6 separate regions of the Mus musculus genome follow, and regions 1, 2, 3, 4 and 6 are each reported to be linked to region 5. The links are microRNA targets in miRTarBase. Many come from high-throughput screens and were not tested one by one. Region 5 holds a microRNA gene; each other region holds the end of a gene's coding sequence.

Region 1 (5,000 bases), not on the chromosome of region 5:
GAGCATTTGTTCTGAGTTCCAACGTGTCTATCAACATTACTTATGCACCGCCTCAAGACGGATTCTGTGTTCTAAAGCCAACGGGCCAGGGAAAGTGGTACCTGTCTGCACGCCAGCACTCTAACAGCCGAGGCCAGAGAACTGCTGGTTAAGGACAGCCTGGGTTACATGCATGGCAAGAGCCTGTCTCAAGGGGGAAAAAAAATTGAAAACTCCAAAACAGCAGGTGTGGTGTAATCCTTGTAATCCTTGCACTTGGGAGGTAGAGACTGAAGAAACCAAAGTTCTAGAGCAGTCTAGTGAGACCTGGGAGGCATGAACTCTAGGCTCCAACTCAGGCCTGTGTGGCAAGACCTTTACCCCTGCCACCCCTCCCAGTCCTCTGCCCTGGAAGCAGCTGCTCAACCAGAAGATCTTGCTGTAAGTTGCCCAGGCTAGCCTTAAACTTGCGCCCCTCTTGCCTCCAACTCCCTACTAACTGGGGTCACTGAGATCACACACTACATAGTCTCCAGTTAATTTTGATGTCTGATGTTCACAATTCCACTATAAGGTCTTTCTTGGGGGATTTAGTATTTAGGTTGTGGTCAGTGAAAAATACGGCTTTGTTTCCTTACGAGAGCTGCAACCTAAACTTCCTGGTGCCTCTGCCTGTGCAGAGGTTAAGATACAGCGCAGCTTGCCCTTCCCCACTGGTTCTCCAGCTAAACTACCCCTTTGCTTTTCTCATGTAAACACCACAACTGACTTAACAGCCTTCCTCCCCGGCAGTGTTTAAAAATGTAAAAATTAACATGTATTTCTAAGTGACAGAACATACTAGAGAAGGCAATGGGGACTTTTCCTTGGCTTCCCCCCAGCCCCCGGAGTCAGGGTTTCTCTGTGTAGCCCTGGCTGTCCTGGAACTCACTCTGTAGACCAGGCTGCCCTTGAACTCAGAAATCTGCCCTGCCTCTGCTGTGCCACCACTGCCCAGTGACCGTGAGGTTTTTTGGTTTGTTTTGGTTTGTTGTTGTGGTTGTTTAGCATTTCTTGCCACTGCAGCACAGGAAATGGAATGACTAAATGAAAGCTCAGGGCTTCCCACTCTCTCCACGATGTGAACCACCCTGGTAAGTCACCGTTGGAGAAGACTGTGTGGCAAAAGGTAAAGCTGGGCAGTGAGAAGGCTCCAGAGCTGAGGTACAGCTAGTCTGGCCCACACAGCTAGAGCCCTTCCAGTGCTCCGTCCAGTCAGTGTGAGTGAGCAGGGTTAAGATGTGGCTCATAGGTAGCTAGTACATTTATCAGCATGATAGCACATACCTGGAATCCCAGGATTTGAGAGTCTGAGGCCAGCCTGGGCTACATAGTAAAACCCCATTCCAAAAACCACAAAACCCACAAGCATACAAAGAGCTAGTTCACATAGAGCGGGAGCGGTTTGTATTTGTGTTGAGATGGAAGCCAGGCAAGCAACCTGGCACTTAGCTACATCTCAGCACAACACTTCTTAGGACCAGACAACAGGAGCAAAGTAGGCACTTGGAGTGATGCTTCTGAGAACTACACGTCCATACTACATGCAAATAAAAACACCTACTGGGTGTGGGATCTAACTGGGTATGTCTGAACAAGCAGTATTGCTCCTGTTAAGAAAATCATGAATCTTAGTCCAGGATTGCTGTTTAACTATGCCCTTCCAATTGTCCTGGAATCAAACGTCAGAATCCCCTTGGAAATCTTAGGATGTCAGATGCCCTCAGAGACTTAAGTCTACACGTTAAGACTGGACAGCCATTACCCACACCGTGCCTTGACTGACTAGGCGGCTAGACTTTGCCTGAGAGTGCAGTGGTGGCGAGTGGTCAGAGATGACTCGCTGCCTGTTTGAGTTTGCCTCACAGTACCACTGCTTATGTCTGCATGGAAAATCATACAAGTGTATTTGCTGATAACAGGAACAGGAAGCTGCCCGTGTTCCACTTACCCACCTATCTCCATGCAGGTTACTCACTAGCCCACCTGAAGACATGGAGGAAGGCAGCCCTGAGCTTCCTGCTCTTGTCAAATGTGCCACTGGCATTCTACACTGGCCTAGTTCATCAGAGAGGCACCCTGGATGTCATGAATCACATTCAGAAAGTCTGCCCCCGAGGTCCTGACCCAGCTTCGGCCTCAGTATTCATAATGATGCCCTGCCACTCCACGCCTTACTACAGGTGAGGAAGGCAGTTCTGCCTGGGCTCAAGGTCAGCCTGAAAGGACATGGAAACTTGGACGCTTGTGCTTGCTTGCACTCGCTCTCTCTCTCTCTTATTTATTTTATGTGAGTACACTGTAGCTGTCTTTAGACACACCAGAAGAGGACATCGGATCCCATTACAGATGGTTGTGAGCCACCATGTGGTTTCTGGATTTGAACTCAGGACCTCTGGAAGAACAAATGGTCAGTGCTCTTAAGTGCTGAGCCATCTCACCAGCCCAGGGTGTCTAACTCTTTGGCCCTTTCTTCCACAGCCATGTTCACTGCCCACTGTCCATGCGGTTTCTCCAGTGTCCCCCAGACTTGACTGGAAAAACTCAGTATCTTGATGAAGCAGATATGTTCTACTTAAACCCCTTAAGATGGTTACAACAAGAATTTCACAGCAATGCGTCACTCCCCACTCACTTGGTCACCTTCAATGTTCTGGAGAAGGTATGTCAACTCAAAGGTTTTCATTCGATTAACAACCATCTGCCTCACCGACCCCTCTCGCCCTCTGTATGAATTGGTTCTCTAATGGCTGCGGCCAAACACCTGACAAACCTGACTTAAGGAGACAGGCTTCACCCCGGCTCAGATTCAGGACAGCAGCCCAGCGTGGCCGAGGCAGCATGGTGCTGGGTGGAACAGCGTGGAACAGGTGGATCATACTGGGTTGGTCTGCTCTTCCCTTTATTCAGCCTGGACCACAGCCCACAGGAACGTGTCACCCACATTCAGGGCAGGTCTTCCCTCAAGGCTTTAAAAACTTACAAACTTAGGAAGTGTGCTTCACTACTGCCTTGTATTGTTTCCTCGTTGTGTACGTGTAACCATGTTTCTGTGTACACACGTGGAAGGGCCAGAGGTTCAAGTCTATCGACGCCGTCTCCTGTCCCTTTCCACCTCATTTTCTCACTAAACCTGGAGCATAACAACTGTGGCCTGCCACAGCCTCCCAAACCCTCTCTCTGCCCCACTCCAATGACCCACTGTTAGGGCTACAGTTATGTGCCACCATGTCTGAGCTATTTTTGAGACAGGGTCTCACAATGTAGCCCTGGAACTCACAGAACTCCATCTGCCTCCCAACCGCTATATAGGACTAAAGACACGTGCCATCCCACCCAACTCCCACGTCCAACTCTTCATGTGGGTTCTAGGGGTCTGAACTCAGATCCTCACGCTTGGTCAGCAACCAGTTGACCAAATGAGCCATGTCCCCTGCCCACCCTAATGGCTGGCCTCAAACCCTGAGATCCGCCTGCCTCTGCCTCCTGAGTGCTGGGATTTAAGGCGTGTGACACCACTGCCTGTGTCTAATAGTTTCTTAATCCAGTAAAGTTGACAAAATATAATGATTCCCATAATTGATCCTTTCCCCAGTAAAATCAGCTGTTCTGTAACTTACTAGATATGTTTAGCTACCAGAGTCACGCCTTTCAGAATTGCTTCGAAAAGGAAAAAGTCACAAAAGAAAAATCGTAATTGGCAACTCTAGAATTCCTTGAAGTCGCACTCGGCAAACATGTCTTTATTTGCTTGCAGGAGATCAATACCTTCCTCACCTCAGGGAACTACGAGAGGGCCGCTACATTCTTCCACACTCACTGGCCAGAGCGCCGAACTGGAAGTCACATACACGTCTACGAGCGAAGGTTACCCGGCAGGGTCAACACAGGAGGGAACTGAACTGTAAGGACTTCTGCAGAGACGTTGGCATAACTGAGAGAAACTGTAGGTGACCGTGAAATGAGAGGAAGCCACTGGGGACAGCTGTCCCATACACTGTCCTGAGGCATTCTCAGAGAACACAAATACGGCGCCAGACTTGAGAGAGACCTTTAGTTTTCCTCACGGTGCAGTTTATTGTTTCTTCCATAGCATTCAGGTGTGCAAGAGAGTTCACAAGACAAGCCAGCCAGCTCTTCACAAACCAACGGGCTCTTGAACCCACAGAGAGACAAAAGCGTGAGAGTAGAGATGTTAGCGCGGAGTCCCGCCTCAGCACAGTCCTCAGGCCCTGCTGCACACCTCCACACGGCACGAAATGCCTGTGTGAGCTGAGCTCAGCTCCTCAAACCAAGCCCTGTTTCATGCACAGACTATTTCATGCCTGGCTTCCTTAATAAAACTACCATTTCCCCCACCCCCCCCCAGCAGGAAAAAAAGTTTTTGTTTTTAACAAACCTAAGCTACAGGAAAATGCAAGTTAGTAAGCTTTGCTTTTGCATAATATAAAGACAGTCATGGGGAGTTCATCTCAACATCAAACCAAGTAGATAGCATCCACAGCTCTTAACTTCCTAACTTAATCACAAATCAGTACTTAGGATCGAAAGGTAACTGCCCCAGTTCTAGCTCAAGATTTGCCGTGTGTCTTCCGTTAGCGCGACCGTATTTTTGCCATTTACCTTCCCTTTCATAAGGCTGTGGATGAAGGTGCTTCTGCTCTTGTTTTCGGTGCCTGGCGTTTTCAATAGTTACCATACGTTGCTTTTTATCAGGTCGACTGAAAGTAGTAAACACATTTTTTTAATCTATGTTAGAGTTCAGTTTTCTAAAAGTAAAAAGAACAATGTTTTTCCCCACTTATCTACCTGAACACTGCAAAAAGATAAAACAGAAAATAACATCCTACTCTAATTCCAGGAAAAAGGGGTATTATTTCAACACTGAAGGAAAAAGGGCAGACATCAATACTCCCGCACTGGCCGGAAGGGGAGGCCTGACAGGTGACGAGGAGCAGGAATGTAACCATAAAATAATGAGG
Region 2 (5,361 bases), not on the chromosome of region 5:
AAGGCCAAGGCAGCAGGCCTGGGACCTCAGCTATCACTGACTGAAGCTCTGCCTGTAATGCCTCTTGCCCTTCTAGACCTCATGAGCCTAGACCTCAGGACTGGCTTCCAGGCTGTGTCATGGAAGTAGAATGTTGCACGTGTATCATCTCTATCAGGACAGTGAGGGATGCCTGGAGTCTCCTTTGTCTTTGAAGCTCCTGAAATGCTTTATATTAATCCCATCCTTGGCCATCTCCTTTGCCAATGGTGAAGCTATAAGGCAATGGTTCTCAACTTGAGGGTTGTGACCCCTTTGGGGGTCAAATGACCCTTTCACAGGGGTCACCTATAAGACCACCAGGAAACCATATATTTGCATTAGAACTAATAAACAGTAGCAGAACTACAGTTATGAAGTAGCAACAAAAATAATTTTTATGGCTGCAGGGAGGTCACTGTCATATGAAGAGCTGTATTAAAGGGTCACAGCGTTATGGAAATTGAGAACCACTGCTCTAGAGTCTCATGAGTAAGTGGTTGTCGCGTCTGCTCTCGACCAGCAAGAACGACACAACACAGTCGAATTCTTCTCAACCGCCTTTATTGCAGGAATGCCTCAATGCTGCTACGGGGACCCAGGGAACCCAGGGAGGTATGCTTATATACTCTCCAGCACAGGGAAAGGCTTCATGGCCCCCTGGGATTGGTCAGTCTGCCGGCACCTAATTTGCATGCACCTGCTCGGGAGGGGTTGGCGCCAGACTCGGGGGGTGTGGGGGGGGTGTTACACCTGTGCTGATGTTGTTTATGACAACGGCACACCTGGCGCCCGGCGCCATCTTAGAGTTGGCTTCTTACAAGTGATTACTTTCTAGAAGCCACTTCACCAGGCAGCATCATTGCAGGGGTTTTTCTGGGTCCTTTGACTCATTCCTCAAGGAGAGGTGTCTATAAACTAATGACTACCATCAGAAAAGGGGATCGCAGAGGTATGAGTTTGGGACCAGCATATAGGAAGGATTCTCTGCTCTGTTTGCTCTGGCTGTCCTGAGGCTGAGGTGCTGGTAGATGTTTGATAAAGTTGCCTTAGCAGATGTTTTGAGAAGAATGGCTTTTTGCTGGCATCCAGAATCATCGCGGGTCTCTAAATGATGGGTTGGGGCACGGGCTTTATGGATCATGGGTGCGATCTGAGCATGTTTCCGAAGTCCCTCTGAGTGAAATGAGCTACGTCTCATGGTCAGTCTTCACTGTCAATCCTAGTGGATTTAGAATCAGCCCTGGGAGCATATCTCTATCTGTGTCTTTAAGGATATTTCCAGAAAGATTTAACTGAGGCAAGGAGGGCCACCCTCAGTGTCAGTAGAACCATCTCGTGGGCTGGAGTCCTGGGCTGAATAGAGGGGAAGGGCAAGCATTCACCCCCTCCCCCCTGTGTTTGACTGTGGATGCAATGTGCCCAGCCACCTCATATCTGCCACCCGGTCCCCTGCCATAATGAACTGTTCACACCCCAGCCACCATGTCTCCCCTGACATGAGGAACCACACATTAAAAATAAATGTATTGAGCCAGGCGTGGTGGCGCACACCTTTAATCCCAGTACTTGAGAGGCAGAGGCAAGCGGATTTCTGAGTTCAAGGCCAGCCTGGTCTACAAAGTGAGTTCCAGGACAGCCAGGGCTACACAGAGAAACTCTGTCTCAAAAAACCAAAGAATTAATAAATAAGTAAAATTTAAAAATAAAAATTAAAAATAAATGTATTTGTTTTTAATACAGCAGGAACCCTTCCCTAAGCTGCCTTTGCCCCCAGTGCTTTGTCACAGCAGTAAGAAATGTAACCAAGCAACTGTGTCTCATACTGGTCCTGCCCAGGGACTGAGACTCGCGTACACTCTCAGGGAGGGAGTAACCTAGGGGACTCAGGCAAGCCAGCATGAAGGAAAGCTGAGTGACTTTATTTCTTGGGATTTGTAAGAGTGAATCAAATCTCCCAGAGACTAAGAGGGTGAGGGAGTCTCATCAAGTTCCTGTGGGCTCAGAGGTTCAAAGTACCCCAATCGGGCCCATTACGTAGCTAACAATTATTTCTTGGGAAATCCTTTGATTAGAGAATACAAGATGTCTTGAGTCTTTGCTGAGTGTGAGCTGATGGCCACACCTGATCCTGGGCCAGAGTCCTTGGAAGCTTATCTTCCAGGCTTATCTCAGAGGCCGCAGGATAAGAGGCCCAGAGCTTAGTACAACAGTCGATAGTCCTGCAGGTTTCCCTCTTCTGTCCCCAGAATGTCCCTTTTCACTTAAATTTCTTTTTCTAACCCAAGGTTTTGTCCCTCTCTTAAGTTTCTTTGTATTTCTTGTCTGGCATATACAGATTAAATTATATAATTCCCACTGATGTTTTTTTCTAAAGACAGCAAGAGTGTGACTGTTTAGGTCGAGATTCTGAAGAATCAGCCCAGGGCAGGGAAGGGCATGCAGAAATGGGATCAAGCCTGATTCAGCTCTGCACAACCTCTGTGGTTTCTCTCTGGGTCCCAACATACCTCAGCTACAAAGTGGGTGATAAGGATTTTGTTTGTATCTTCCAAGGCTTTGAGGAAGTTGACAAATTTCCTAATAGAGTTCTAGAAATGAAAGAGACACTACCGTTGGGTTGCTTGTTATTAATCGAGGACTCTCCATGCAGAGACTTTATGAGACAGAGACTTTATGCAGCTCCTTCCATTCTAGGATAGATAGCCTTTGGGCTAACCTTTATCAGAGAAAAGTGTTAAAATCCCTCTAGTAGGGTACTCAAGAGATTGGAGGTTGAGGTTCTGGAGAGCGTTGTGGGAGCCTCTCATAGAGTCAGGCCATGCTGGGATATGTGGTCCCTGTCACCACCTCATATAACCCATTCTATTCAGACAGTCCCACCTGAAGCAATTCTTCACTGGTATGCCTTTCCCCTGCCTAGCAAGGCTCCCCTCTGCATCTCCTGGGCGCCACCAATCCACTAAGGACTCCATCTTTCAATGAGCCCCTTTGCTCCTCAACACTTGGAATGTCTCTCCTATGAGAGACTACAAAGGTGAGACTAACATTCCAGAGGCCAAAGAATAACCTAGAAACAAAGACCAAGCACTCTACCAAGTCTATCAAAGCACATCTTTCTATCTTGTGGAAATACTGTTTCCATATGCAGAGCAGGCCTGAAGCTTCTCGGTACATGTTCAGACTGTAAGAGGCTTCCAGGCTACATGAAAGCACTATTGGTCACTTTCTAACCCCCCTCCCAGCACCCTCAACTCCACAGCTCCAGGACCCACTTGACTCCTCAGGGCAGGACCTAGGTATCTACAGAAAGGTGTGTTCAGGCTAAGAAAATTATCAGCTGCTCCTTCAGTGAACAAATATAAACACTAGTAGGACCTATGCCCCATGATTTTCTGTCCTACTGTGGCCTCTTACTACCCACCGTCCCCCTCCACCCACCCTTACCCTCTAGAGCATGAGGGAAAGAAAGAGGTACTCATTGCTTCTTTCTCATGTGTGTTTATTGAGCGCCGACAGAGCCCGTGGTACTGTGCTCAGGATTCAGAGCCACAGTCTAGTCAGAACGAGACCAGAGCTAGTCCACAGAATGTTTCATAGCTGTGTAACATCTGTTACGGGATCAGGATGGGGAAAACTAATCACGAAACAAATTCCTATTCAAAAGCAACAGAACCTCCTCTGAGAGTAATATAGATTCTAGGCACACATACTCACCACACACACACACACACACACACACACACACACACACCCTCAGAATGAACACCCAACTATGCCCACTTAGTTGTATATGCATGCATATACAGATGTTGGTGGGCAAGTAAATTAATATATATGCTGTACACACACACACTGGCACACGCACACACATACACTCTCACACAAACCACCACACAGACAGAAAATCTGGCTTATGCTATCAAAGACACTATGTCTCCAGGTTCTAGCGGAAGTAACCTGTCCTAGATGTCTGCAGCATGCAAAACTTGAAAGATCCAGAGAGTCAGTTTAGGAGAACAATGGGGGCACATGGGTATGCTTCCATCCTCAGAGCCCCAGCCATAGCACGGAAGGCAACAACAAAGCCTTTGTGAAGGGCTCCAGGGGCAGAGCAGAGGACCTGGAGGCTCCCTGTGATGGCGGGGGCCCAGGAGAGCCCTGGGCAAGTTCGCCAATCTTCAAGGCAGAGTGGAAAGCTCTGGTTGGTGTGGTCCTCCTAACAGTATTCCTTGGGGCAGCGTGGCAGACTGAAGTGAGTGCCTCTTCTTGCTCGCTCTCCGCAGCTTCCCACGTATGCTAACGCATTTTGTAGTCATTAGATACAGATGTTTCACACAGCTGTCCCTTAAAATCCAAGTCTACTGTGAAATCGAGGTCTCGCTATGAGGAAAGAGCAAAGGGTCACAGAATGAGTCTGGGTAGGAGATTGTAGCCCTTCCCAGGCACAGAACTTCTCATGGTGCCATGGGGATAGGTAGCCACGGGAGTTCTAGCTAGGGGGACTCCAAGACCAGTCCTCAGGAAACCATTCTGGTACCCCATTATCCTCACAGAAAGGGCTCTGATAGCTAACCTAAGCCTTCCTGTCCTCACATGAAAGCAGTCCTGGCTTTTATCCAGGCAGTAACTGAGGTCGGTGGGTCTTCCTTGATATTACCCTCAACCACCCTGCAGACCTTCAGCATCTGTGCAGAAACAGGGGCATCTCAGAAAGGTCCCACCAGGTCAGCTGGAGAAATAAACCAGACACTTGCTTTTCCTGGCTCAACTCACCCTAAATGAAGCAGAACCCATTTATACAACATCCATTCTCAAAGGCTCTCCTGGGAGCTTCCAGGAGCTGTCCTCAAGGTTGAGGTCGGAGTCTAGGAAGCCTCTAGCCATTGGAGTTTGGAAGAGTCAAAGTTGAAGTCACCCAATTAGGCCTTGGTCACCTGCAAACACAGCTGCTGTCTGCCTCCCCTAGAAGTTGGTCCATTTGTACACACGGCATTAGACTAGGTGGGTGACTTCTGAGAGCTCCCTAAGAGTCAACTCTGTGTTTCCCTTGGCCCTGGCCATGCAGGGATTCCTAGACTCACCACATTTTTGGCATTTGGCTTCATGGATATGGTCCCGTAGATTTCCTCCCCTCTCCGGACAGTGAGGTAGTCTTCTAAGTAGAAGACAGTCTGCTTCCAGTGGGTGTAGGGGGCATCAGGGGCTGGAGGTGGATGAGAGAGAGGGAGAGAGAGAGAGAGAGAGAGAGAGAGAGAGACAGAGAGACAGAGAGACAGAGAGACAGAGAGACAGAGACAGAGACAGACAGAGACAGACAGAGACAGAGAGACAGAGATGAAC
Region 3 (5,361 bases), not on the chromosome of region 5:
TAACTTCCTCAATGTTTATTTTGATTTAGCCCACTGCCTTTGGGGCCTGTCCAGAACCACTCCAATTTCCTTTACAGGCAAGCATCATACCGACCGTGGACCGTGGAGTGACTGGACCACATGCACACGCACACGCATCCCCTGCTTAGGATGTCGGTGTATGTACGAAGGCACTAAAGCGGTTTTAGAGAATGCAGGCAACAACCCCACCCATTCACTTTACCTGTGGAGCTGGAGTTTCTTTCCCACTGGGAAGCTTAAAGTTTGAAAGAAGCTGTGGCCAAGACCTCTGGCCCCAGGAGGGAATACAAAAGCAGAATTCAACATCACCCAAATCAAAAGGAAACACTCCACATCTCTGCCTCCCAGGATGGGGGGAGTAAGCAGCAGATCTTCAAAACAGCATTTAAAACAAGCAAACAGTAGCTGGGAGCTAAATAAAAAATGAAAAGTAAAACCACTTGTTCCTTATTAGACTCTTCTGTTTCCTCCTCCTGTAACAGATGGGAGGCGAAACACACACTTTTCACCAACAGAACAGTCCATAGGTAATTTTCCTTTAGTAATGCTCATATTTAAAATTCGTTTAAAAAATTATTAACCTATATTTCCTAACTCTTTACAGAGATTCTCAGCAATCCAGCAACCGCACTGCCACAGTTTAGAGCCGATCCTTTTGCTTAAGCTACTGTTTCTTTCTTTATTCCTTGCTTTTGTTGATGGGGCTGGAGAGCCAGGGAGAAGAAGGGCTGCACTGGAGAACAGAAACATGACGGGGAGACGTCAGTCCAGCCTCATACAGAAGGAACAATGTGGTGTCACTCCTACGAGCTCAACAGTCACCCCCCCAGTAAGCCATGCACAATGTCAAGCAAGGCGGTGACAACACTCAGAATGGCTGAGCCTTCTCCCACAGTTGTTAAGATAATGAATTTACCTGTTGCTGCTAAATTGGTAATTTTTAAAAAATATTTCTATGTATTTTAAAATGTGTGATCCCCTGTATGATAATAACGTTTGGAGACTTTTCTTTTTACATTTTTATAAGTAAAAATCGTTTAAACTTTTTGAAGTTTCAGGAACTTGTAAAAGTTTACTAACAGGAAAGAAACAGCTGTCTATCTAGGATAAGATACAATTAAATAAACCATCTTCAAAAAACTGGCTTCCTACCCTAGAATTCCTGAGAATGCTTGCAAATTTTAAAGCAGGAAAATAATGTTAAAAATAAAAAACAAAAACACTGTTAAATGCTCCCAGAGTTAGTCTTCATCTAAAATATATATTTATATGTATGTGTGTATGTGCATATATATATGTACATACATATATATATATATATGTATATATATATACACACACATATATATATATATACACACACACACACACACACACACGCACTTTTTGGTCTTTTTTTTTTTTTTAAGTTTTTAGTTTTTTTCCCTTTAAGCTTATGATGGAAGAACATTTTAGCTTCTCATGCTTATTTTTACATATTTCAAATCCCTCATTTATGTCTTGTAAACAAGAGGGGCTCTAGCACCCGGCTTTCACCGTAGTATCGTAAGGAACTCAACTAAGCCATAGTGCAGGTCAAGGACCCAACAGGCAGAAAGAGGAGCAGGGGCAGAGGAGAGGATAGGCAGGGCCATGAACCAAGAGCGGCAGTGGACAGTCCCCACAGGCTCCCAGGAGTCTGGGGACACTAAAGTTCAGCCTTCAGTCTGCAGATGTCTGAATATAAGCGGCGCTTCACCTGGACGTCATCACCTGCGACAGAGCTCTGCTCCAACACTGAGAGTCAGTGGGGCTGGAAGGAGACATTTTGCAGGGCAGAGGTGAGAGGGGGTGGTGGTGATGGAAACCAGAGAGCAGGAGGAAGGCAGAGTCCATGAGAACAAGGTGTTGCAGGAACAAACCAGAACTGCACGCTCATTTGCCTACCCACCTGCCAAGGGCGCCCAGATTGTTAAGCACAGGTGCTCATGGGAATGGTGCCCCGTCAGCCTCCTCTGAAGCTAGGTTTATACCCAACAAGGTAAGCCAAGACGACTACAGAATTTCCCACTCACTGTCTTACAAAGCCACTTACATGCAATTTTGGGTTTTTTGTTTGTCTGTTTGCTTTTTCCTATCCATACCCCTCTACCCACCTACACCAAAGACACAAGCTGAAAGTTAAATACATTAGGCATTGTTGTATCCTTCACTGAAGATGCTAAAGAAAGAAAAACTCCCTTGTCCTCAATAGCAGCAAGTCACAGAGGACAGCAGAGGTCTGCTCCCGTCAGGGGTTGGAATGGGCAGGTAATTGCTGGTACAGAATGTCGGCACTTCATGTTGAACAGACAGTACGATGCAGACTGGGATATCACACAAGTGCTAGCATGTTCCCCGCACACATCACGCCCGCCCGCCCGCCCGCCCGCCCGCCCGCCCGCCATCTATTTAGCACGTGAGGATCCCCTTCGGGTTTACTTTCACTCTCTTCACAATAAGAAATTTGATATATTTTGATTCCAACATAGTACATACGTATTGGTGATAACTGTGGATTAAACATTGCCTCCTGTTCGGCCCAGAGAACTACTACATTGATGTTTTTTTAAAAAAGTCTTTAAATACCAAAATAAAAAAACCAACATTACAAGGAAAGAAAAAAAAAAAAAAGAGGTCAAAACCAAAACAAGGTGCAATACTTTGCTAAGTTATTTCTGCCTAAGCAAAACCACATACACAGGAAACAACACAGAGAAACAAAGGGAGACACTTGAAGTACACACTGGTTTAAGAACATTCGTTAAGTAAACGTTTCTGTCAGTGATGGCCTGGTGCTGTAACACGCCACGGCCTGGCACAGGTAATGCTCAGCGAGAGAGAGAGAGAGGGGAGCAGAGAGGGAGGCGCTGCGATGCTTCCAGGAGGCTGCTCATAACTTACTGTCTTCCTCACATGATAATGAGAACTGATAGAAGTAATTGAATTTGCATTACCTGAATCCTTTCAAAAAATTCTCACACCCGACGAGCACAGCAAAGTGGGAACTGTTTTTCAGCTTTTAAAACATCACACGATTTAAAAATTATTGAATCGTCTGTTCTCACTCAAAGTAGCCAACTGGCCAGCTCAGTCCTTAGACTCCTGCTGCCGGGCAGGCAGCTGCTTACTTCACAGCACAGAGGTGAGCAGCAGCTTCTTGGAGGGAGGGGCCTTCTGTCACACCTCTGGCCTTGGCAGTGCTCTGCTCTGCAGCTGGGTCGACAGAAGCTGGGGACCTCCCCGCCCCCCCCCCCCCCCCCCCCCCCCCGCATTCTGGCTGCTGCTCTGTCACTGAAAAGCACCCTTCATCTCGAGGCAGCCAGAAGAAGTGGCTTGAGTTGCAGCGGCTCCCTGTGCTCCTGTGTTCTCATAGTCAGAAATAATGAAAAGCGGATGGCCGGCCAGCCAGCCTTTGGAACTGTCAGCAATGCAGCTTTCTGAGAAATCAGGGTGGGGGTGGGGCGGGGCGAGGCAGGACGAGGAGGGCAGGACGCAGGCACACGAAGAGAGACAGAGAGGAGGATGCACGCAAATGCACATGAACACACGTGCACACACATACCAGAACGAGCATGCCTGGGCAGTTACATGTGCCAGAACACACTGGTATTTATCAACCAGCCAATCACAAAATTTTACCTTTTTTTTTTTTTTAAGTTTTTTTGTTTTTGTTTTTAAAGTGAGGCTCCGTCAAGTCTTCCCTCCCCCCTCCCCCAACAATTCTTTTGAATTTCCCTCCCACCCAAACATGGTAGACCTAAGGACGGAAACACACCCAGTGCAAACAAAGTTAAAAAGCTATTTTTTCAGTATATATGTTTCTTAGCAACAACTTCCATATAACATGAAAAAAGTGAAAAACTAGAAACTAATTTTTTTAATTTTTTTGTGTTTAAATTTAAATGGTATGTGTACTTGCTTCACATTGTCTTTCTAGGTTGGCGTTCATGATTCAAGTATTTCAAGAGTGATATGTTCTCTTTTTGGATTCATATTCCAAACGAAAAAACTGAAGTTTTAAGGGAGGCAACTATGTGCTCAGACAGTCTGTCAATGACCCACCTTTTTTCTCTCTCCGTTTTCTTTTTTCCTTTTAAAAATGTATTTATTGCAAGTTGAAAAAAAAAACGAAAAGGTCAAGTTAGTGCTGCTGCTGTTCCAAAAAAGGTCACGAGGTCAGAGTTGAAAGTTTAAGTTCAGATTGAATCCGACCCTCCTCCCAGAAGGTCACCAGGTAGTAAAGGAGCAGGGCTGCCCATCCTATGGGGATCTTCCACCGTCGGGACTCCCCACAAGCTAGAAGAATAGTTTGGGGGGCCCCACAAGGAAGTGCCGGCAAGATCGGCCCCACTGCTGCCACCAGCGCTGCTGCTCCACTGCCCGAGCCCGGTGGACCCACCGAAAAGGTTCAGCGCAGGTCCAACGGGGTCTGCTTGGTTCTGGCTGGTCTCCAGGGACTGCCACCCTGTGGCAGGTGCACTCGGGGTGGCTGCAGGCGTAGGGGGCTGAGCTTGAGCCAGAAAGCGGCTGACTTCATCCTCAGTGGCAAACTCGGCCAGGATGGTAGTGTTTCCCAACACACACCTACAGAAAGGAGAAGAGTCACGTGATCCGAGGGATCGCCAGCAAGGGGGTGGGGGTGGGGTGGTGTACAGCTGTCAGCCCTCTGCTACTGTGTTGTCTGCATGCCTGACGACAGGTGTGGCGATCATGCTTGGTTTATGCAGTACTGGGGACTGAACGTAGGGATTTATTCATGCCAAGCAAGAACACCTGAGCTATGTCTCCAGCCTGTGTGTGTGCGTGTGTCTGAGGTGGGGGGGGCGGGGGCAGAGGGAAGGAGGGAGGGAGGCAGGGGAGGATATTTAGGGCAACCTTACAACCCTGAATGATGTGAGGTGAGGAGATCAGCACTTGTTTGTTCACACCCACCACCACCACCACCACCACCACCACCACCACCACCACCACCACCACCACCGACCCAGAAAGTGAACAGAACCCTAACGTGAACTGTGAACGCTGGTGAATTAGGTGCTAAGGGATGCTTGGAAACTGTAACAAAGGATACTCTAGGAGTGATAACAATGGGTTGAGGAACCACTGAAGGAGTACTCAGGAAGTTGCTATCCCATCCTCTCAATTTTGCTGTGATTCTAAACTAATTTTTAAAAATTTGAAGTTTTACAAAAGCAAGAAGAAAATGTCAGCTTTCTTTCTTCCCCTCCCTCCCTCCCTCCTTCCCTTCCTTCCTTAAATCCACATGAGGCAAAGAATCCCATTCATAACAGCAGGCAAGCCAACACCCAGGCCCCATTC
Region 4 (5,359 bases), not on the chromosome of region 5:
AGAGCTCCACAGATGCTACAGGGCTTTATCATTGAACTATGCTTCCAGCCTCTTATTGTTACTGTAGTGTGTGTGTGTGTGTGTGTGTGTGTGTGTGTGTGTCTCGTGTGTATATGGATGTTTTGCCCATGTCTGCATACCATGTGCTTGCTTAGTACCCACGGAGGCCAGAAGAAGGCATCAGATCCTCTGAAACTAGAGTTACAGATTGTAGTGAGTTACCATGTGTGTGCAGGAATTGAACCCAAGTCTTCTAGGAGACCATTGGTACTCTTAACCACTGAGCTTTGTAGACCAGGTTAGCCTCAAATTCACAAGGCCTGTCTACCTCTATTTCCAGAGTGCTCAGATTAATGGCTACTATTCCTTTTTGACAATTCTATGTGTATTTTGGGTAATAGTATTTTCTTCAATTCTGTGGCTTTTGTTTCTCTTTCCTTCTTTTCTTCTTTCTTTTCTTTTCTTCCTTCCTTCCTTCTTCTTTCTCTCTTTTTTTCCCCCTCTATGTAGCCCTGGCTGTCCTGGAACCCACTCTGTAGACCAGGCTGGCCTCGAATTCAGAAATCTGCCTGCCTCTGCCTCCCAAGTGCTGGGATTAAAGGCATATGCCACCACTGCCTGGCTGTTCTTTGGCTTTTCTTATACTCTCTTGATTTTAGAAAGAACAAAAACAAAAACCAAAAAACAAATCCATGGCAGAAAAAGTTACTAAAGAGCTCAGATAAAACTAAGCTTATTTTCAAAAATGATAAACAGGGTCTTTTCAAGCCCAGGTCTCTGTGAATCCCAGGCTTCAACCCTGGGATTTCAAAAATGTTTTTTGATAAAAGAGCAAGTCATCCCTAGACTGTTCTTTTTCACTTCATTCAACAAAATGCTGCTGGAGTAAAGCCAACACAGCAAGTGTAAGGTACTTCCTGGATTGAGATCAAGAACTTCCTCATTTAAGAAGGGAGGAAAAACCGGGCGGGCGCGGTGGCCTAGACCTTTAATCCTAACATTCAAGCAGCAGAGGCAGGCAGGTCTCTGACTGACTTTTGAGGCCAGCCTACTCTACAGAGTGAGTTTCAGGACAGCCAGAGCTACACAGAGAAACTGTTTTACTTTGGATTTTATTGTTATGAAGAGACACCAAGACCAAGGCACTCTTATAAAGGAAAACATTTAACTGGGGCTGGCTTACAGTTTCAGAGCTTTAGCCATCATGGTGGGAAGCATGGCAGCCTCTAGGCAGACATGGTGCTGTTAGAACTGGGAGTTCTACAGCTTGATCAGCAGGCAGCAGATCTTTTGAAACCAGAGTTACAGATTGTAGTGAGTCACCATGTGTGTGCTCATAACTGAACCCAAGCCCACCTCCACAGTGACACACTTCTTCCCACAAGGCCACACCTCCTTCAGTAAGGACACCTCCTAATAGTGCTACTCCCTGTGGCCAAGCATACAGACACATGAGTCTACGGGGGTCATTCCTATTCAAACCACCACAAAAACCTTGTCTCAAAAAACCAAGGGGAAGGGGACAAAACAAGACCTCTAAAACATAGAGTTTCTTTAACAAATGTAAAGAAATGCAGGGTTGTAAAGGCATGTGGTTGGAAGTGATAAAAACAATGAGGCAGGTTACTGTCACTGGGCCAATGGTTACAGACACACCAGAAAGTGTACTTAACAGGGACATTTATTTGGGGGTTTGTGTGTGTGTGTGTGTTCCTGGAACTCATATCATCAGGCTAGGGGCATAGTTCCTTCATCCAGCAAGCCATCTTACTGGTGTGCTTTTTTTTTTTTTGAGATAGGGTCTCATGTCTGAAGCCTGGCCTCAAACTCAATATATAGTCAAAGGTGACCGAGAACTTCTTATCCTCCTGACTCTGCCTCCCAAGTGTTGGACCTTGAGGCCTGACCTCTATCTCCCTGCCTCCCTACATATTATAAATGTAACTTAAAAAAAATTCTTAATGGTAGAGAGGTCACTTCTGGCGAAAGCTTACTGGTTCTTTCTTGAGCTAACAGTAACTGTTAAGAAAGACTGACAAAGGGAGAGATGTCTCAGCAGTCAAGAACACTGGCTGCTCTTCCAGAGGACCCAGGATCAATTTCTAGTACTCACATGGCAGCTTCTAGCTGCCTGTAACTCCAGTTTCAGAGAATCTGACACCTTCATTCAAGCATACATGCAGGCAAAACACCAGTGCACATGAAATAAAAATAAATAAATTGATTTTAAAAATAGAAAGAAAAACTAACAAGCCAGGTGGTGTTGGCATACAGCTTTGATTCCAGCACTTGGGAGGCAGAAGTAGGTGGACCTCTGAGTTTGAGGCCAGCCTGGTCTACATTCTACATAGTGAGTTCCAGGACAACTAGGGCTACACAAAGAAACCCTGCCTTGAAAAATCAATCAATCAATAAAATAAGTAAGTAATTATATTTATTTTTTTAGCACCCTGATGAAAATATACTAGTGGAGAGTATTCTCTTAGTAAGCTGGTGAGGGTTCTTATTTACCCAAAGCCCCAAATGATTCAAACACATTCACAAACTTAATGCATTGCTATGTAGGTCTCCCAGTTTGCTCAGGGTGAAATCACTTTGTTCCCAATGGTGCTGCCCCTGACACGCACAATAATAAAGGAATAACTCTAACTTTTGCTTCTCTTTGAAGGAAAAGCCACTTAATAAACAATATTCTCTCAGACACAACTATACACATACATTGTTTTTATTTTACACCACAGGGCCCAATTGTTTGGCCCTGAAACTGAAAAACAAGGCATAGAAAAACCAAGGCAGAGAAAGTACATTCTGGCATTATGGTCAAGTATCTGTTCTACCTAAAGAGAAAAGGAGTGCTAGGAACAGCAACTTCTACAGACAAATTCAAAAGACTTCCAGAGAAATCCAGAAAGTGGAACTTAAGACTCGTTTTTCAGTCTGTTCTGTTTAATTCTATGGCTTTTACATTTCAGGTCTCAGCCTGGCCTTGGTCATAGACTCCAAAAGCCATGGGTGTATTTGAGGACCCTAACCCTTATTCCTCGCCAACCTCTGGGTGCTATAGCAAACTAAAGGCTTCCCTGGACAATGTTGTCTTCGAGCCCAGGCTTGGCCTGTCTGAGTGAGGGCTGACACTGACTCCCACAGCCCCCGCTGCTCCTCAGGACTTCACACTGAGGCTCTCCTAGCACACTGTTATTTAAAATGACTATTTCTGCTCAGTCCCCTACCATCCATCCACCACACCAAAACATAAATAGATACATACACATTTGAAAAGGTTAAGTAAAATTAGCTTTTAGAGCCCAGTAAAGGGATGGCCCACTGAAGCCTGAAGAAACTTGAAGATTCTGAAACAGAAGGAAAAAAATAACACAGAAAACCAGTGCTTCCCCCAAATACTGAAGCCCAGAGGCCCTAGGAAAATTTCCTACATGTCTAGACTCAGGTGAGACTATCACATTTTTCCAAGCCAACTTTGGGAAGCCTGAAACTTTGGGATTTTGAAATTTTCCAAGCAACACCAGCCCACAGCTGGAAGAGACTCTTGCGTAATCTCATTTACAGACTTTTGCAGAAAAACTACACTCCACCCCAAATGTTCCTAGGTCTGCTGAATCCTTTCCATGTGTTCTAATTGAATTTATTCAAGATTAGTCACAAAGAACAAAAGTGTGTGCGTGCGCACATGCGTGTATCAGTCGGGCTGCAGGAAAGCAATCTGATGATGGTTGCAAATAACCAAAAGGACCAGAAAAGCAGCTCTAGCCAGACTCTCGGGAAGTCAGACTCACAGCCCTGGGTCAGGTGGGCACATACGCCCGACTGTACCCTACGCTGGTTTTTCTACATGTCTTTCACACATGTAGACAGCTGCACAGTAACTCTCCTTTAAGATGTCTGCAATGACTTCATGTCACTTCTGCCACCAGAAATAGGATGGTTCTGTAGGCATAACCTCTAGGAACTGATGCTCAGGCTGCCTTGGGGGCTATTTTTTCCTTGCTTGACTTATTTGGTAGGGGGATTTGACATGCTAAGAACATGTCATCACTGCCCTGTCCGAAGCTCCACGCTCGGCTGAGGAGAAGCAGCGCTGACGGCACACACTCCATGAAGGCAGCGGGCAGCCAGCGGCTACCTACAAACTTGCTTCCTTGACCCCAGGCTTTGGTTTTGTTGTGGGCTTTGAGGGGACAGTGGTTTGTTTTTGTTTTTTGAGACAGGGTCTCACTCTGTAATCTTGGCTAGCCTAGAACTCACCATGTAGTCTAGGCTGGCCTTGAACTAAAGATACTCCTGCTTCAGTCTCCCAAGTGCTGGGATAAAAGGCATGCACCACAACACCCTACTATGATATCAGGGTTAAAAGAAGAACAGAAATCTAATTCTACAAGGATGGAGAAAGAGAAAATGCAAACATAAAATTCCACTGCCATTTCTGTTGATTCTGTAAGGAGGAGCTGAGCTGAGTCCAGTTGCTCCTTGCAGCCGGTGTCCAAGTTCCCAGTTACAGGAAGAACAGGTTCCCACACAGCTGGATGGCTGGCTCATGATGCAAAATCTGTCCGGACAGGAAAGCTAGCTTGTGGGCATACTTGCAAGGAGCTGGAACTCGGATGGTACCAGGCCAATTCCAGTACATGTGGCATAGTTTGAAAGTCAACCTAAAGTTAAGAAGAAAATGTGTTATCACTTCTACCTCCACCTAGGGGTGGGAAGGATTTCACTCTCTTGGGGATACAACACAGCACTCCTACCAACAGACTGGGGGAGTCTGGGAAACCTACTGTTGTTTTTCAGGAATTGTTAGTTTTATAATTCTTTCTTTAGTTTGGTTTGGGGTACAGGTTCTCAACTATCTGGCTTATGCTGGCTAGTAACTCCACTAGCCCAGGTGGGCTTTGAGTTGCCAGTGATCTTCCTGCCTCAGCCTCTCAAGTGCTGGAACTGTAGGTGTGAGCCACTAGGTCTGTCCAAGAGAGAAACCATTATTTTTCATCTGGAGTTGTTTATATTTTCACATAAGCCAAAGGATGGGTAAAGTAAGTCAGCACAAGTGTGATGGTATCCAGAGGACCGAGTTTGGTTCCCAGCAACCATAAGGCAGCTCACAAGCATTTGTAACTCCAGTTCCAGGGGATCTGACACCCTTTTCTGACTTCCACAAGTACCAAACACACATGTGGTATACATATATGCATGCAGGCAAAACACCATACGTGTGTGTATAATACAATAAAATCAGAAAAAGCCACAAAGGAAAAGGCTATAAAAGGGCATTCACCAGTCTATTGGGTCTGTACATCATAATTGTGGTAGTATGCCATAGTCATTTGCAGGGGTTATCCATCCTTCT
Region 5 (5,361 bases):
ACCAAATCCATTGAAGAGGCGATTTGGTTCCATTTTACCAGCTTTAGCAAAGCATTGCCGCTGCTGGTGTAGGATCCAAACAGGTTAAATGCTCTTTTGTAGAAATATAGCATGACAGGTATTAGAGGTTCCCACACTAGTGTACCAGTTGTTAAACAGAAAATTCACGTGTTTAGGCATATGTCCTACACTGCTGTTCTTGCAGCTCACATCAGTGCATCTTTACTTAGTTCTTAAATGCACACAGTAGCCTTTCAAAACCAACATTTGAAAGAACAGATAAATCATCATGTGTTTCAGAGTAATGCTTCTAAATTATCACCATGTTGGTTTGTTCATTCAGGTCTCTGTGTAGTCCTGGCTGTCCTGGAACTCACTCTGTAGACCAGGCTAGCCTCAAACAGAGATCTGCCTGCCTCTGCCTCCCAAGTGCTGGAATTAAAGCAGTCTGCCACCATGCCTGCAAACCAGGTTTTTAAGTAATTAAACTAGATGTTGAAAAAGGGTCATGTTAGCTACATATTTTTGTACTGCTTCTATTTTAGCTGAGGACTTAACAAGTTCTGATACGGAGTGGAAGGATAAGAATGGCCTTAAGAAAGTAACTCTGTCCTTTAATTTATTAATACATCACACATATCTTCAGTGTCATTCTTTGCTTTTGTTTATGTTGGCATACTAACCCTAAGTTCAGAAATTAACCTTCTTAAAAATCTATTTTATTGAGGTGGGGTGGGGAGGAGATGTGGGATGTGGAACAGTTGGAGGGTAGAGGGGGGTGGGGGTGGGGAATGGAATGTGGAGTGTAAAAAATAGATTAAAAATAAAATAAAATTTAAAAATCTATTTTCTTGACTAAATTCTATGCTGTTTTGAGTATAGATTGTTCTTATTATAAGGTTAGTGATACATTGATGTATGGTAGTTGGCTATAATCCCTGAATTTTGAATATTAAAACCTACCATGTGATACTTTAAAACCAGTACTTAAGCATTTGATGTGATTCTGTTGGAGATTTCCTGCCTGAAGAGAATGTCTTCTGACACATACTCATACAATAAAAGTTTGATATATTATAGCTTGTCTGTAAAATTAGAATGCTGAGGGAAATACCATATAATTTTATTTTTTTAAACTAATATGGTAGAAGGACAACACAATCTCAGACAGTATGCAAATAGTTTAATATTCTATTCTACATCTGTTGTTAATTATTGTGCTTCTGGTGAAATTAATGTAATTTTAATTCTTTGCATCATTTTTTCCAAATAGTGAAACAGGTATTTGGTTGCTTAAACTTAAGTGCTGAAGATAGCACTTGCCTGGTTCTATTTTAGTAGGTCCCTGGCAGCCAGTCAGCAAGTGCAGTTGCTCAAGTGTGCTTTTGGATCATTGAGTTTCGTGTACTGGCCATATCAGGACAAGGAGAGGCCATGGGAAAAAATAGTCCAGCATCTGATAGTGTCAGCATCTGTTATCCCTGTCAGGGTGACAGTTGAAGTGTTTGAGTAATAGCAGTGTCAGCAGATGCCCAGAGTTTAACATGTACTCACTTCAAAAGGGACAGCTGATCTAAGTGCTGGATGTGACATTTCAAGTGATTCAAAACACTCCTAGACAAAAGCTGAACTTGGAAGCAACAAAATCAGTTTTCAGTTTTATTTTATAAATGAATAGCTAATATTCTCTAAGGATTGTAACAAATTATTAGTTGTGAAAATGTTTCTTAAAGAATTATGAAAACCTTTCAGACCTGTGGAATAACTAATGTAGCTGTTCATAACTCATTGTGAGAAAAACAATGTCATTTGATATAAGCAAGGACAATACAGACTCAGGTTTTTGACAGTTTGTTGCCAATATATCCTGTTTACATTTTAGTTGTGGCCTAGGGTTTTGCCATTTTTATCATTCTTTTTCATGCTGTAAGTATTAACTGCACTTAAAGTACAGATTGGGTTAAGAACTGACAAGCTGGAAAAGGACAAAAGCCAGTTTTCATGTGTGCAGTATAATTTTACTTAAAAGATAGTCTTTAAACATTATAGTTTCAATAGCTGTCAGAAAAGAAAATAATGAAACCAAAATTTTTGGCTTACGAGATCCTCTGATTTTAATAGGTTATACATTTTGCCACATGTGAAGAATAGCTATTATATGAGTAAAATCAGCTTTTTGTTGCTTTATTTTTCTTATTAGATTTGTTGGTCCTGATTTGATAGATGTGAGACACTAAAATATCCAATTGTGAAGACAGATAATGGTTGATCCTGTGTCTCACTGTTTTGCGCTAGCAATACTATTTCCTCTGTAGTAGTCACATTTTAATCACGTGAGTATTCAGTGTAGAGTGTAGTATGATTTAATGTGAAAATTAAAATCCACTTCCACGGGACTTATCTCTTCAGTACAGTATAAGGGATGTTAGTTTTCCCAGTGAATGGCTGGTCCTTTTGGAATGGGGCTGTTAGTATTACAGGTGAATTCAGAGTATGGAAGTCATCCTCCTGGAAAGTTTCCTTTAGCTTCTTCTTGGCGGACATTACCTACCCAAAATACATACTTCTTTACATTCCATAGCACTGAATGTTCATATGGGTACATAAAGAAGTATGTGCTCTGAGTAGGCACTCCTGCGCCGGCCGATAGCTGTGAAAACATGAAGCAGCCCACCTCACCCAGCTGTTAGTAGGACATTTGGATTACTTTTCTGGAAGAGTAATGGATCCAGTGCGGAGATTAGCTTATCAGAGACTGAATTTTACAACAGATTTACCTGATCCCATCAATGCCACTTCTGCTTGTGGTTCTTTTAAGCACTGCCATGCTTTGCCCTGCTGCTTCTTTTCCAAGAGATGCAGTCAGCAGAGTCTTAAGTGTATTCAGAAATGTTAGCACGCTTGCTGCTCTCTCCGTCGTGCCTCCCTCTTCTTTATAATTTGCTTCTAGATCCTTTACAGACAGATGATAATCAATTTAGTCTAAATTGTTTTTATAAACCAGATACTTCTACTTAAAACTTATTGGGAGAAACAAGTTACAGTTAGCACAGGCTTTGAAATTGGATCATTTCATTGTGTGAGTGAATTAATGTTTTTAAATGGAAATTTATTTTCAAGGTAACAGATTACAAATCATTTAGCCAAGTTTTTGTTCTGTTTCTGTTTGCATTGAATGCAAATTCAAATAGTTACGTGCTTGGTTTGTATGAGATTACTTTTTAAAAATGGTTTTTAATATAATGGAAAAGTACTAAAATAACTTTTCCAAAGTCTCCATAAAAGAGGAGAAGCACTTTAGTCTGTGAATCTCTGGGTTTTACCTTGAATATTTAGCACAAGAAAAAAAAAATAATTTGGGAGTGGCCTATAGTCACTAAGACATTTTGAAGGTTAATTCAAAAGGAGACATTGAGAAGCTTTGAGATTTGGTAAAGAATAGAAAAGGGGGTGCTGGGAGGGAAGTGGGGGAATAGGATTTCTGCAGTCCATGAAGAAAGCTAGTAAGCTGCCAACGCGGGCCTCAGTCAGCAGTGCCGCTGAGACCTGCACCGTGCAGCAGCATGCGGATGTCTGTGGCCTGAGTAGTAAGCAAGGGGAGACATTTCATAACCCAAATCTTGAAGTAGCCTTTAGAAGCTATTGTGCTCTGGAGGCAGGGATGCAGGTTTACTAGAGGAGCGAGACACAATTGAAACAACTGTTTAATTGAAAACAATAAAGACCCTGTCTGTAGTGATGTAATGTTAGTGGTAGATTGTATATTTTTGAAGTTATCTGGCATGCTGTTTGAACAATGGCATTTTTAAAACTAAATTATTAATTTGAGCTTTGAAATTAGCCTATGCCCAGATATAAATTAATTTAACAATGAGAATATATATCAGTCAATATTAGATAAGCATGCAGAAAGTCAGAAGCGTCCTTCCAAGTTGGTTCTTGTGCTTGATTTACCTGTGAGCTTAGTGTCCTGCCCCACTTACAGGGAAGAGATGTAGTGACCTACAGTAACATTGCAGTCACCACATCATGACCGTTCTTTCACACTGCTGCTGTTTCAGCACTGGTTTTATAAGCTGGGTGAGGTAAGCACCCAGTGTAAGTGAACACAGAACCTTACCTTGTAAGATACATTTGAAAGACAAGTTAAATATACAAAAACAACGTAATTTTACCTTTTTCCCTTGCTCTTCTCATAGACATAGAAAGACACATATACACAGATGTGCATGCAGGCATGCAATCTCTCTCTCTCTCTCTCAAATTGAATCAACATTAGTCATATAATTTAGAATGTAATATATCAATTATATCGATATGTAGAGAAAGTTAAGTAATGGGAAGGTTGCTACAGTGGCAAAGAGAATGTACCTAGGGTTTTTGTTAGATGAAATGATTTACAAGAGGGGAAAAGTTGCAGAGGATGTTAATTTTGTAATCTAAGATTTAAAAAAACAAACAAACAAACAAAAAACCACTGCAAGCAAAACCCTAAACACACCTCACATTCTCCCAATTAGCTGCAAGCATTCACCCAGTTTCCTGTGCCCACCAGACCATACTGGGTTCTTCTGGTGCCTCAGGAAATATTCTGCATCTTTCTTGCTTTGGGATTCTTTTGGAGGAGCAGGAGTTTGAGTTTCCAGGGTTAGTGGTAGATCTGGAGTGAAGCTACCTTGTTATATCCAGAGGTCAAGTCTGCAAGCGAGGTCAGGACTCCCACATAGTCACCACAGAAGCCAACCTATGTTCTTCCCGACTCAGTGGCCACAGCCTAGGCTGCTCGAGCTTTATAGGCAGCTAAGCATTTGAAACATGCACTCCCAGGCAAACAGACTCTCTTGTGCCTCTCTCTTCCCTGACCATATTTAGTCAGCCATAGCAAAAAATAGTCTCTCAGCTGTCGATTGTCGATCTAAAAGCTGAGGAGGATTCTATCTTGCTTTCTGCCTATTGATTGTTCTTCCTGTGGTCCCAACACTGCTTTGCCATTTGTCCTGCTATTTTTTTTTTAAGTACTGCTAAATAGAGCCGTGTCTCATGTTTCCACTTACATTTCCCAGATTCTCCCCGAGCTTGTGCTGAGACTAGGAAAACCTCACGCGGCTGTCACTATACTTAGAAGCCCTGAAGAGAAAAAGGGCGGCGGGGGTGGGGTGAGGTGGGGTGGGGCAACAAATTTGCCCTGGCTGGTAGCAAGACAATCTTCAGGCAGATCTGCGGGATGTAAAAATCCCTCTGCTACCAAAATACTTCATAATCCAACTCTTTTTTGATGGTTAAAATGTTTTGTATAGTAATGTATTACACAGATGTTGGCTTGTAGGGATTTTTGTACAGTTATATTTAGGGTTACTATTT
Region 6 (5,361 bases), not on the chromosome of region 5:
CTCCCCTTATTTGCTAGCTGATGCATTTGAAAGAAATCAACAAGGGTTCTGGTTCCTCAAAGTTGGGAGAAAGCAACAGTGCCTGTCAGCAGGAGCAAGGACTGGTCAATGAGATAAAGAAATCAGTTCAAGGAAGAGGTGGACAAGCATTTCCATGAGCCCAACAAAACCGAAGCTGAATTCATCGGGATCCTTTCTGGTCCCATGAAAGCCTTATCTCTCAGCCATAGTTTTGTATTCGTCTTCTTAATGGAGCCCTTTCAAACTGCATAGGTGCAGGCTCCTGATGATAGGATGTACTCAACAGTTTGATGTCCCCTAAAAATGCGTTGCAATTGCCTGTGGCTTGTTTTGTTAACTGTTGCAAGTTCAAATGACCACTTTCTGGCCCTCCTTTCCCAATGACATCAATAATAGGATGTGAAGCAGAAGAGATAATGTTGAAAGTTCTACAAGCTAAGTGATAGATAGTCTTTTTCATATGAATATTTAGGATCTCTTTCCTCTTAGTTTATTATTGAATTTAATTTAACAGTTTCTGTTGAAATTATATTTCTGAGCAACAAGGATAATTTAAGAAGCAATTACAAATGAGATGTTCAATAGAGCTGTTTTGCATATTTATTGCATTTTCATATCTTGGAAACAGGATAGAGGTAAAAAACAATGAAATCTTGATTTCTATTTAGATAGAGATTTATCATTATTTGTGAGATATGTCCACCATGGTTTTACTTTAAAACCACAAATAAAGTTTTAACAATGGGCATTTTTCTTGTTGAGAGGTCTGTGGTCAGACTAAACATCTCACAGAACCTGATTAGATCCTGAGGTTTTCAAATTCAATATTCAGCAAGTATAGAGCACTTCTTTGGCCATAAGAAATAATTAAGAACTTCGGGGCTGATGTAACTTGCCTGAGCCTGCTTCACTTTCTATGATGACATGATAATCAGACATAACCTCTTCTTGTATTGTGTCCCGTCACACATAGGTTTGAGGCAGAATAAATCACTCATGATTAATCTTTTCACAATCTAGGTGGCATTGCTTTAAGGTTTTTCCATCATCAAGGTCTTCATTTGCCAATAGTCAAGTTAGAGAAATTTTATGTTATTGAATTCTTTCCTTTTCCTCCCAATTATCTTGAATCCAGAAAAGTAGACACTCTGTCATTATATGAAGACAAAGGAACATTGAATACTTAATTATACAACAGCCAGAACTGTCCATTGTGTATTCATTCTTATAATAGATTGCTGGAGGGTGAATTAGCATATTTAGTTTGAAATCTTGTGAGATATAAATGGGGTTGTTTTAGTGGCTACTCTTTGCATGTCAGCGTCAGAGTACAAAGATGGCTGCTGTAAAATAGCACAGAGCTCCCACTAGTATGTAGGAGAGTGTTCCCTAAGTGAATCACATGATAAGCTGTGGTTGACGATGTCTAAAATCCACCTTTTCTGAGCTCCCGCAGTGTCCCTGTGATCCTACAGACTTGCTTCCCTAGCAACAACTTTTTCCACATGGAAATCTGAAAATCAAATACGCAAAAGCCATTGAGTCGTAGCATTCTCTATAGTGTTTCTTTACTGGAAGAGATCTCCAAAGGTCACCTAGTTCGTCCCATCTCCAGCCAGGACTCTTCCTAATACTGAATATAGCTGTATAGTGATCTGCATTAAGAAAGCTTTTAAAGATCCCTGGGGTTGGTCAAAAAATAGCTAATATTGGCCTGATTCATAGAACAGCATTATATGAATGTCAAAATAGCCACCTTCATCAAGGAAGACATCCATCAGGGCTGTTAAGTGCTAGGGCCAGCTTCATGAGAAACACACTTTACTTTCTCAGAGAACGGGTGGTAGATTAAAGAAATGATCCAGGGTGGTAGTAGTTTTTGTTTAGGTAGTTCAATGCTTGTCTAAAAGGAAAGACTAGTCATGTCAAAGACCACAGCAGGAAACTCTTAGAGGTGACTACAGAGGAGCAATTAAGTAGGACTTCTAACAAGTCTTTTCAAACAGCTGTAGAATGCAGAGAGGAAGCAGCTGTTTTAAGCAAGATCTGATCCGCATCAAGTTATTGAGAGGCAAATAATAAAACATGAGAATAATATCAACAGACCTACTCATAAAGTGATCTCCTCCCCCCCCCCTCCAACAGCTGAGGTTGTTAGAACTTGAATTCTTTCAACTCCATGAGATGGTAGATGAGGACAAGAATTCAGGTGCAATTTCACATTCCTATCACATTGCTGCGTATCAAGAAAAGTCATCGTCCACTGTTGTCTAGACTTTTGAGTTATCAGAGTTGGCGTGCTTGTACTACAGCCTAAACATAATAGCATACAGTTTCTGTGGGACTCATTTGCACCTTTAAGTCTTTCTGTTGAGCTATCTAGAAGTCTTAAGGAAGTGGGGAGAAAGTAGGAGAAACATCCTAACTTGATAAAGTACCCACTTGCTTATATGTGTTTCTATTGCACTTTTCTTCCCCGTTTATGTAACTGCGAGGTAGCCCAGGAGCCCTGCTGACTGTGGGCACCTTCTGCAGAAGGGAGACTAAGTGAAAAATAAGAGTAGAGGGTTTTGTGTTTTGTTTATTTGTAATCTACCCTCTGGCCAGATTTCAAGTTGTACCTCTTCTAAGAAATTAATTTAAAAATATTCCACTGTTAAAAACAGACAAGTAGCCAGTGGTTTTGGCTCACACCTTTAATTCAAGCACTTGGGAGGCAGAGGCAGGAGCATTTCTGTGAGTTCAAGGCCAACGTGGTCTACAGAGTGAGTTGCAAGACAGCCAGGGCTACCCAACCTTGCCTCAGAAAACTAAAACAAACAAACAAACAAACAAACAAACAAGCACCAGACAAGTACCCTGTGTTCTCAGCCAGAGCCTGATCTGGCTTATAGGAAAAGAATGCTGGCTTATAGGAAGAGGATGCTCTTAATTCTGGCTCCTCTCAGCCTCCTTTAGATAGGAAATCGGCCAATGGGAACTTTTGGGTGGGCAGCGGCTTTGCTCAGAGAACACAAAGGATAAAGAAACAAAGTCTTCAGGTCACCTTTCCACTTCCTTTTGTGACAACAGGAGAAAAAGAAAAAGGAGATCTCCCCAAGTGTCTCTGGATTTTCAGCAGTCCTGTAATGGGCTCCCAGCCCTTGAGTTAATGTGCATGTCCACCATAAAGCTCAGGGGAAAGAACTATTTCCGTAGTGTTTTGAATTTAGCAGAGTAGCTCTCTGCTATGTACATCAGATTTGCCCAGATAATTATGGATTATTTGCTTTGTGCTTACAACCTGTAAGAAGCGTTACTTTTGCCGGGCGTAGTGGTCCATGCACACTCTTAATTCCAGCACTCAGGATACAGAAACAAGCAGATCTCAGAGTTCAAGGCCAGCCTGGTCTACAGAGTGAGTTCCAGAACAGTTAGGGCTACAAAGAGAAACTCTTATAAAACAAAACAAAACAAAACAAAAACAAAAAACAACGAAGAGGAGACGGTGATGGTGGGGGTGGTACTTTTAGGTCCCCAATGTAAATAAACTCCCATTTTGAAACTGGATCAGCTTAAGGAATCAAAATGAAAGGGATGTAAGAAAAGGCAGAGAATAGTAGATTCTGTAACTTTTATTACCAAAAAAAAAAAAAAAAAGTCAAAATCTTTACATGCTATGCATGACATTAAATGTCATATATAAGGTTCACTGCAAGCAAATCTTTAAAAAATATACATACTGTATATATTTACACTTCAAGTTTGAGTAACTGATGCCAAGGTATAATTCAGATTCTAATCCTTACCTACCCTGTGGATTTGTTCCGCTACTAACTAAACAGTGATTGTGTTTCTTCACCCAGGCACACGAAGAGGTAGGAGCGCCACTTTAAATAAACAAACTGGAGCACAATATGAAGATCATCATTGAAGCAGCTTAGCTACATAGAGGAAACCCTAGCTAGCTTTGATCATCTCAGGAAGCTGAATATATGTAGTCTGTCCAGGAAATTAAAACTGAAACAACTTCAGAGAGATACGTTTCTGACCACACTAGACTAAGAAGGCCTGCCACTCTGCACCCGAGAATTTTAAGTGGCTCACATAGCAGCGTTTAGGCAGGTAGCTAAGACACCTTTCCTCCCCATGAGGCAAAAATAATATGCGAATAAAAGATATCAAATATATATCTCTATACACAGCCTCTGGAACTCAGAAGCCAATTTAGACAATTCCTTTGCCAAGTAAAATCCGTATTAATTTCTACCCATGCCCACCTCCAGCCCAAACTAAGCTCTCAAGTCTATTCAAAGGTGGGGAGCAGTCTGTGACTTCTGTAGACCCAAGGTCCTCAGCCTTAAGAGTGGGCCTCAGGAAGGCTCTTGAGCCTGAGAAGGGCTTCCTAGATTCCGGCCAGATTTGATGGGACTTGTTTCTGACCGGGGAAGCTTAATCGAGGCCACAGAGGCAGCTGTGGCCAGAAGCCCCTCTCGTTCCCTCTTCTTCTGCTTCATCCTACGGTTCTGGAACCAGATTTTGACCTGGGTGTCATTCAGCTGTAAACAGTTGGCTATCTCGATGCGTCGGGCTCTAGTTAGGTACTTATTGAAATGAAACTCTTTCTCTAGCTCTGTCAGTTGCTTGGTGCTGAAATTTGTGCGGATGGCACTGGGAGGGCTTGTGGCTCCATATTCGGACAGTTTGCCTGCAACATAAAGACAAGGTGTGAGCAGGAGGAGGAGATGCTGAAACTATCCAGTGGAGCTAAGACTTAGAATCAAAGTCACAGCGCAGCCCTCCTGAGTGATGGACACAGCTGAACCAGAAGAAGCGCTCTGCTGAGGCCTCTCAGCTCCTGGGGCATTTTCTGACCCTGGGCTCTGACCAGGGCTTAGGAGTAGAATCTCTCTCCAGGGTTGGTGGCCACACGCTCCCGGCTCTTCACGAAGGAGGCGCCCCCCCCCCCCGAACCCCCAGGTGCCTCCCCTCAGCGCCCACCTCCTTACTTTTCTTGGGGGCGTTCCTCTTCACTTTCATCCACTCGAAAGTGCTGTGGGCGGCCGGGAGGCTGGAGGTGGGAGAGGCCGGCTTGGGGCAGGCTCCAGGGGCCGGGGACACAGTCTGAAAGGGCCCGGGGTGGCCGTCTGCGGGCTCCTTGAGACACGCGGGGAAGGGGCCAGGCTCGCCAAAGGCAGCGAAGTCCACCTGGCCGCTGAGCAGGAATGATCCCCCGCCGGAGAAGACCGCCGAGGTGGCATAGTGGACGTGCGCCCCGCCCTCGTCCGCCGCTCTCCCAAGTGCGCCCGGGAAGTCAAACGCCGGCCCGGACCCCAAGAAGCCATACTCGGCGGCAGAGGC

The links. The annotated mature microRNA mmu-miR-1b-5p reads UACAUACUUCUUUACAUUCCA and lies in region 5 at 2,558-2,578, shown strand. An mRNA with a match to its seed (bases 2 to 7 or 8) in the 3' UTR can be bound and repressed. Matches are read on the target gene's strand: a 7mer-m8 pairs with bases 2 to 8, a 7mer-A1 pairs with bases 2 to 7 and ends in A, and an 8mer does both.
Region 1: the mRNA of Ccpg1 is a reported target of mmu-miR-1b-5p. The part of its 3' UTR that is shown has no 7-base or 8-base seed match.
Region 2: miRTarBase lists Prmt8 as a target of mmu-miR-1b-5p. Seed matches in the 3' UTR shown: 7mer-m8 at 3,726-3,732.
Region 3: the mRNA of Tnrc6b is a reported target of mmu-miR-1b-5p. Seed matches in the 3' UTR shown: 7mer-A1 at 2,532-2,538 and 7mer-A1 at 1,320-1,326.
Region 4: miRTarBase lists Piwil2 as a target of mmu-miR-1b-5p. Seed matches in the 3' UTR shown: 7mer-A1 at 3,262-3,268.
Region 6: the mRNA of Hoxd1 is a reported target of mmu-miR-1b-5p. Seed matches in the 3' UTR shown: 8mer at 3,737-3,744.

What each region holds. Positions count from the first base shown.
Region 1 is chr9:73,015,071-73,020,070 of GRCm38, reverse strand. Ccpg1 (cell cycle progression 1) reads right to left here. Exons shown (of 9, transcript NM_001286544.1): 9 at 4,071-4,739. The coding sequence ends at 4,550. Pigb (phosphatidylinositol glycan anchor biosynthesis, class B) reads left to right here. Exons shown (of 12, transcript NM_018889.3): 10 at 1,988-2,201; 11 at 2,500-2,680; 12 at 3,776-4,375. The coding sequence ends at 3,919. Among named protein-coding and RNA genes, the nearest start is that of Pigb, 22 kb to the left of the region's middle.
Region 2 is chr6:127,685,508-127,690,868 of GRCm38, forward strand. Prmt8 (protein arginine N-methyltransferase 8) reads right to left here. Exons shown (of 10, transcript NM_201371.2): 9 at 5,103-5,224; 10 at 3,502-4,401. The coding sequence ends at 4,318. Among named protein-coding and RNA genes, the nearest start is that of Gm38900, 38 kb to the right of the region's middle.
Region 3 is chr15:80,928,354-80,933,714 of GRCm38, reverse strand. Tnrc6b (trinucleotide repeat containing 6b) reads right to left here. Exons shown (of 25, transcript NM_144812.3): 25 at 1-4,626. The coding sequence ends at 4,239. Among named protein-coding and RNA genes, the nearest start is that of Mir5113, 9.0 kb to the left of the region's middle.
Region 4 is chr14:70,369,770-70,375,128 of GRCm38, forward strand. It overlaps Piwil2 (piwi-like RNA-mediated gene silencing 2), which reads right to left. Exons shown (of 23, transcript NM_021308.2): 23 at 2,708-4,667. The coding sequence ends at 4,511. Among named protein-coding and RNA genes, the nearest start is that of Slc39a14, 21 kb to the left of the region's middle.
Region 5 is chr18:10,782,929-10,788,289 of GRCm38, forward strand. It overlaps Mir1b (microRNA 1b), which reads left to right and starts at 2,518; the gene lies at 2,518-2,639. The region is part of intron 12 of Mib1 (mindbomb E3 ubiquitin protein ligase 1); the gene reads left to right. It overlaps Mir133a-1hg (a long non-coding RNA gene), which reads right to left. Exons shown (of 3, transcript XR_877177.3): 1 at 4,502-5,361; 2 at 2,778-2,953. It overlaps Mir1a-2 (microRNA 1a-2), which reads right to left and starts at 2,624; the gene lies at 2,553-2,624. It also overlaps Mir133a-1.
Region 6 is chr2:74,763,402-74,768,762 of GRCm38, reverse strand. It overlaps Hoxd1 (homeobox D1), which reads right to left. Exons shown (of 2, transcript NM_010467.2): 1 at 5,010-5,361; 2 at 3,621-4,708. The coding sequence ends at 4,374. Among named protein-coding and RNA genes, the nearest start is that of Hoxd1, 3.1 kb to the right of the region's middle.